Bombyx mori: one gene and its partner. The protein of the gene in region 1 interacts with the protein of each later gene in a biochemical or structural test. Links are inferred from orthologs where the notes say so. Each region holds a gene or a part of one and is shown on either strand. Other genes may lie near its edges. The genes, in order: polycomb protein Pcl and histone-lysine N-methyltransferase E(z).

Region 1 (3,837 bases):
CCATGACGACAAATTTAATATAATGTGATAGTAGTATAAGTAGTGAAATGTTATAGTGGCTTCCAGGTTGTATATATTCGCTTGTGCTAGCTGTAACGGTGGTTCGGAGTATCTACGGCGGCTCGAGTTATGCTGGCTGGACCTGGCGCATCTTGCGCTATACAACCTCACCGCCTACAACGCGCCCAACTACTTTGATCTCGATAATGTAATCATGCCGTACATTATGGACAACTGGCACGCCCTGCAGTTACCCGAGAAAGTAAGTTTAAAATTTAATTTTTACCACCGGGCCGTAATGCAAATTGACGCCCTGGATTCATTCGTAGTGCATTTTTAGATCTTTTTTGATATTTTCTATCCAGCTATAAAATAAACTTCACACCATGGTATTTCCATCAGGTATGCCATATGGTCAAATGTTTACATGCGTTATTAAAAAAATTATCATTAAACCACACACAATTCTGTAGAGCAGTCCGTACTTCAATTCAAGCATGTTGTATGAAGGGTAGAAAAGCCATACCTCCAATTATTCCAATATAATGAGACTTTCTTATGTGTGATGTTCATGTGCTCAGCTAACAGGCTAAGTATGCTGTACGTAACTTTAAAAAATTCCTTTACATTTTAAATGCAAAGATGTATTAGCGAAATTGTTTACTTTTTGAACGTTTACGTTGTGAAACAGATGTGGCGAACTCCCGTAAATGAACGACGGGAGAAAATTCTAACAGCACTCACTTCGTCTCGAAAAAGATTCAAATGTGGTCGAGAGATGAAAAAACGAGCTACAATCTGGGGTCTCCGTCTCCGTCGACCTCCACCACCTCCGATGCAACTTTCAGCTTTAGAACAGGTAATTAATTATGTATGCAAGTAAATAAAAATGGTATCTGTCTGCGATATTGACACAAGTATTTTTAAAGCTCTACAACGGATTGATGGTTCTATGCCTATAACCTTCTCACAAACTTACAAAGTCTGATTGCAATTGGCTATACAGTGGCAGAGCTCAAAATACTGCTATGTGCTGAGGCTTAGGATAACATATGGAGATGTTTTCGCCAAAAGTCATCCTTTTTTACTTTCCTTTGCTCGAATTCAGTGTCAATAAAAATACGAACTACATGCGTACGTACAACTTAGACCGATCAATCTGAACCAAGCTTCAGTGGTGATGTGGCACAGACGGTGCACGTGCATACCCAAAGTATACTACTACTACTAGGTCTATAAAAACCTAGGTCGGGGAGCGCGGCCTTCCGTCACTCGATTGATCTTTTGCAGTGCGACAACGTGTCGGCATCTCGGGCTCTTTGCCCCCGCCGCGGTGAATGCGGATCGGTGCGGAAACAGAAGAGCTCTCACGCTCCGCTCCTACGTCATAGTGCACTCACAAAAAACGACCATCGCCTGCCTGAAACTTGAATACAACATCAACTATAGCCATTACTCATTAACGCTTAATGGTAACCCTAATGTTGGTCGCCGCCGCGACCTTATAATATTTATTGTGAGCATGGACTTGCTGTTCCATACTTTTTTCCGTTCAACCGTATTGTTTTCTTTAATCCTAGATAAAGAAGGGAGAACCATTGACGGACGACTTGGTGCAACAACACGCTCCCAGACTCCGGTTTCTACCTCGTGCTCCTACACCGAAATCTGTTGTTGATGATAGGTATTATATACTTTATTTCTTTCATTTCCTGAATTATGTGGTCTACCATAAGATATTCACGTTCATATAAGTCACCTTCTATATTAAAGTAGTACTACATTTTTCTTTCTATATCGACGGCTGAAAGACTATTTGGCTTAAGCGACATTTTTACAATTATTCAGCGAGAACTATTTAAAGTTTGGAAAAAATATCATGACAAAAAAACTTCTCCAGATACTTGGATGGAGTAAACTTAGTTGAAGTTCAATTAAAAACATAGAATTGTTGGTGCTAATACCAAATAAAACGCACTTTTAATTACAAAGGTAAATGTCGCTTAAGCCAAATAGCCTTTCACCCCTTGATATGATTCATTTTTGTTGTTAAATAATAATACAGAAGGGTAAGTAAATATTTTTTTTAGTTTCTATTCGTGATGGTAATTCTTCTACTATATTGTAAATCATTGCCACCCCTGAAAGACATCAGTAATACAAAGAACACAGCAAAGCCACCAACTTACTTGGAAAACGACAATAATGCAATTTTTTTTTTCTGATTTATAGAATACATACAAGCAGACCAGCATAGTAATTTGTTATTAATAGAATTGTTATTTTAGAACTGTCATTCACCAATTACCACTAATTTAATAACAATGAGTGATGTCCAACAGTTTAAATATTTTACTTTCTTTTTTTCAGTTCTCAGCCCTCTAGCAGCAATCCTGTAAAATGTTCCTATAAAAGTAACCATCAACGAATGATTGTTCCCGTTGATGGCCACTGGTTAAATTTAATGATGGGCAAACGGTTCCATGAGAACCTTAACTCAAACTCAAATTCAGAAAACGATTCTGCCAGTTCCTACGAGTCCATCAAGCTTATTGAGGCTGATGAACAAAACTCACCGTCCGTGTCTACAACTAATAGAAAATCTGAAGCCAAAGTTGATAATGTAGAAAATATAAAAGAAACCCGATCCAATGATAAACTAAGCTATGAAGAAGACCCTCCGATATCAGTGCCATCAGTAGTTCCGTGTTCAGTAAAGTTAGATAAAATATCCAAAGAGAATGTTGATCAGACTAGTATCTCTAAAAGTGAAGAAACTCATTTAAATTACAATGCCCATACAACAAGAATAGCTACAATGAATTTGGAAGTATCCAAGCTGTCCACAAAAAACATAATTGAACATTCCAAAATAATGTCACTGCAACATATGGAAACTGTACCATCATACACTAGCTTTAACCATGACCTAGAATCGTCTGGAGATGAAACTTCAAGTAGAGGAACTTTGGATGCTATTATACCGCCCCTGAAGAATTTTCAGGGAAGAAATAATCCTTTTTTGATGCAAAATACATCATCAAAAAAACCATTTTCGTCAATGACGAATATTTACCTTAAACCAAATAAAAAAGTGAACAATTTTCACTCAAGGTTTTCTTTGCCAGTACTGTTCAATCCCACAATGGGACCATTAATAAGACCTACGAAAAGAAAACTTAGTGAAAAGGATATTGTTATTGGACCAAATGGAGAGGTGAAGCGAAGAAAATATCGACGACCAAGAAAGTATTTACAAATGCAGGTGAGTGTTATATTTTTAATGCATATTCTTATTTTTCTAACCTGTTTAAAGTAATGTAATTATTATATCATTAACAAATATACTTTAAATCTGATAACTTTTGGAACTAATAATATAAATAGATTAAAAGAATAAACTAGGCCATGTAAGTAATCAAAGAACATATTTTTTGTACAATGAAGGCCAAGAATATCTGTCCCACGAAAGTAGTCCATTTCGTTTAAGTGTAGGCCAAATCTGCCAATAACTGTAATTCTTTCCTTTATCATTGTATAAATAATAAGAATCAAAGTCCTCATTAGGATTCTAAGCTTATTGCTTATTATTATTATTTTTGATTGTGGTTTCAAAATACTTTTATCATATAATTTTCCTAGTATTCTTTGCCAGATTATTCTTCATTTCCATTGACATTTCCTTCCTTTCTTCTAAGCCACAATGAACAAGGGTCAGCTAACTTTGATCCAGTAAGAGAAAGTTGATTGTTGGATTCATCTTGATTTCAACAACTTCAATTGTGTTATTTTCACTTCCTGAGAAGCTATGCCTCCAAGGGCCCAGCTCGTCGGACT
Region 2 (3,675 bases), on another chromosome or scaffold:
TTTTCGTTGCCATACTCCTCCGAAACGGCTTGACCGATTTTGATGAAATTTTTTGTGCTTATCCGGTATCTATGAGAATCGGCCAACATCTATTTTTCATCCCCCTAAATGTTAGGGGTAGTCACCCCTAACATTTTTTTATTTATTTTTTAGACAAAATTTTTAATTTCTATTTTTTTATGATACAACATACAAAAATACATACAATCCTTAATTTTCACCCTTCTACGATCAACCCTTATTTTTTATTTGCTAATTAAAAACAAAAATTTTTTGCAAGAATTTTGTTTTTATTTTGTCATGACTTAGAATAAAAAATTTCATATTACTCTGAAATTTTCACCCCTCTACGATCAACCCCTATTTTTTATTTGTTAATTATAAATTTTAAATTTTTTGGCAAGATTTTATTTTTTATTTTGTCATGACTTAAAATAAAAAAAAAAAATTATTACTCTCAATTTTCACTCTTATGCGATCAACCCCTATTTTTCCATACGATTTTTATTTTTTTTATTCTATGCACAGATCCGCAATAAGGTTGCAAGATGGCAATCAAATATTATAATTGTAGCATGATAAATTCTTATTCAGAGTTTATAATTTCAAGTTCCTTTAATTATGATTTTTTTTTAATTCAATTTGATCTCCTGCCCTCGCCGGTCGACTACATACTGATCAACTATCAATCGATCAGTTATCCCCGCCAGGTGTCACCACTCATCCAGCAAACATCACGTAGTAGGGATGAGGACGAAGCCGGTCTCCTGTCTTACTCACTATATATTTTTCAGCCATGTTCCTTTGGTTTTATTTGTGTATCAATAGTATGTTCAGTAGGTCTGAAAATCGGCTACTATCTATATTTCATACCCCTAAGTGATAAGGGTTGTTCACCCCAAAAAAATTTTTTTTATATATTTTTTTGTTATAATGAGGTATAGTCCCCGGCACGTAACTTGGCAAGAGTCGTTAGATGCGCAGAAGTCGTTTTTTAGGTCTCTTTGGTTGTCAAGCGGGACGCGGGGAAAGACGTAGCACCGTTCCGAGCGCGCGATTAGTGAGTCAGTCGACTCTCCCCTCCCGCACCGCGTTCACGTTCCGTTCGCTCCCGCTTACACATGTGCCTACTAAAGTTGTAGGAGCCCTTTGTTTATATTGAGTTTTTGTTACGAGTGTTATTGTTTTAAATTTGTTTGCAATGCCAGGACCAAATTATACCAATGACCATAATTATAGTCGATTCAGTCACTGAGCGTTTTATTATTTACGCCAGTGACGACAGCGATTCTTCGTTATGTCGACGATGAGGAGCTAACTCCTTCCACCAGCTCAGGTCCTACCATAAATTTAATCCAAGGGGTAGCACTATTAGAAAATGATAGTGACGACGGCGACACATAATTTTTAATATTGAGTATATTTTGTTAAATAAACTTTTTAACTTTTAATTGTATTTTATTTATAACACCTAATACACTTCACGAATTCCTCTCTTTTCTTTAACTTTCTTCTAAACACACAGGCTTAAAAATAAATTATGACAAATAAAAAATTTAATAAAATAAAATTAACATATATGCGGGCAATAAAAGTGACCATTTTTTTGTTGCAATGTACACTATGCGCGACATTACCCCCACTACACCAAAACCTTGCCAACTTCCGTGCCGCTTACTATATTATGTGGTTGAATGAGGTTTTTGAGAATTTTATATATTATTTCCCTAGAAATCTTATTTAAGGCAACACAACGTTTGCCGGGTCAGCTAGTTTTATTATAAAATTTCAGATTTTGTCGTGGATGCGACACGTAAAGGTAACAAGATTCGTTTCGCGAACCACTCGATCAACCCGAACTGTTACGCGAAGGTCATGATGGTGAATGGTGACCATCGCATTGGTATCTTCGCTAAACGGGCGATCCAGCCTGGAGAAGAACTGTTCTTTGATTATAGGTGAGAATACGGTGGACTTTATTAATGATTCGCTAAATACATGAGATGATCTTCATAGTCAGCTTAGTACAATATTTGTAACCAGTGATGTCACAAACTGAGCACCGCCTACAACTTCTTGAGGCTCTTGCACGAGTGCCTGCGCTACTCTTGGTGTGATGTCGTCATCAAAGAAGGCTATGTGTTGACCCGTGGCGCGCCCGATCTTCAATGATAAATACTGATCAGCATATGTTGCCACCATCCACTTCAGGACATAAGGTCTAAATATTGATTCATGACAGGTTGACTGTCCCTCCAATCTGAAGACATGATTTATTTCAGAGAAAAATAAAACAAAACAGCTGCAGCACACCCCGCTGACTACCTTGCTAGGGCTATTTACAAATTCATTCGATTATTGTATTGTAATTTGAACTAATGGATTTTTATTTTCAGATATGGACCTACTGAGCAATTGAAATTCGTAGGAATCGAGAGAGAGATGGAGTTCTTATGAGAACAGTCCAAATAGCAGTCGCTCCAAGACTGCAGGACACTGAGAAAGTCAGTGTGAACTCTACTCACAGTTTCATTAGAATGTTATCTATGTGAAATTTGACATCTGAAGATAAGTGAACATGACAAGTGACATGTGGCATCTCATAATGTAACATTAATATTAAAACTCACGGTTTCTTGTACACCTGCCTGTGAGAGGTCACAGGTTTGAATTCTTCGCATGTCTTTTGTTTTTTTTGTAAATGTAAAGTAAGGTATGTCTTCTCAGTCGGCACACATTATAGATGAATTGGGAAGAGCATTAGACACGTCATGTTTAAATTAAATACCTGGCTAATTAATAATGAAATAATTTTATTGCATGAGATGTGGTAAAACCCGTTTCTCTCTTCTTCTTTAATAAATATGTAATAAAACCAAATTGTTTTTTATTTATTAAACCAAATACATATTTATAAATATATAATTAAATAATTTTTTATTTAATTTTGGTATACTATATTAAATGCTAATGAATGTAATATGGAATAGTATGGATGCAAAATCTAAAGTAAATGAAATAAATAAAAAATAAAATAGCTTGTGCGAATTTACAGCCCCACTTTGAGCTCACTGTATACAACATTCTTGGCGATTTTTAGCACCCTAAGCTGCTGTCACCATTCTCGTGGAATGCGACGAAGGGCTTAACGTACAACTTGACAGACAGTCTACAAAGTTTCTCAGCAGATCTTCCCAGTGGGTCACGATTGGGATCGGGTGGTAGATTCAGCAAAGCATTAATCTTGCTAAGGCTAGTGTTAGCAAGTTCTGTAAACTCACCCACCAAACCGGTGAAGCTGGAATAGCCTCTCGAGGCATCCAGCAATTAGGCGGACAAAAGGGAAGCAGAATACGGCTGGTGGCTGTGTAGCTCATTTTTCATTATGATAGTTTGTGAATTTATAATTGAATTTTATACAGAGGCTTTTAACATATATATCATTTTTGTATTTTTCATTTTTTGCCGTAATTATACTGAAACAGATATTAGTGGTCTTAAATAAGAATTTATATATGTATACCTATATAACCTTGTTGCAATTTAATTTTGCATTTAATGTTGCATTACTAAAATTTATAAGGGAATTGTGCCTTACAGTGGTGAAAGTAGAAGTGTAGGATACAAGCCTTATAATTATATTATGTTGAATAATGAAGGTTTTTTATATTAAAT

Evidence for each region.
Region 2: the proteins of polycomb protein Pcl (region 1) and histone-lysine N-methyltransferase E(z) form a complex in vitro, tested with the Drosophila melanogaster proteins (2 studies listed by BioGRID). The link is inferred for Bombyx mori from reciprocal best matches to the Drosophila melanogaster genes Pcl and E(z).

What each region holds. Positions count from the first base shown.
Region 1 is NC_085121.1:6,822,384-6,826,220, reverse strand, and holds part of polycomb protein Pcl, read left to right. Parts: intron 1-66; coding exon 67-262; intron 263-691; coding exon 692-859; intron 860-1,580; coding exon 1,581-1,684; intron 1,685-2,370; coding exon 2,371-3,265; intron 3,266-3,837. UniProt on the Drosophila melanogaster protein: Polycomb group (PcG) protein.
Region 2 is NC_085117.1:20,080,416-20,084,090, reverse strand, and holds the end of histone-lysine N-methyltransferase E(z), read left to right. Parts: intron 1-1,792; coding exon 1,793-1,958; intron 1,959-2,396; coding exon 2,397-2,457; 3' UTR 2,458-2,880; downstream 2,881-3,675. UniProt on the Drosophila melanogaster protein: Polycomb group (PcG) protein. Catalytic subunit of the Esc/E(z) complex, which methylates 'Lys-9' and 'Lys-27' of histone H3, leading to transcriptional repression of the affected target gene.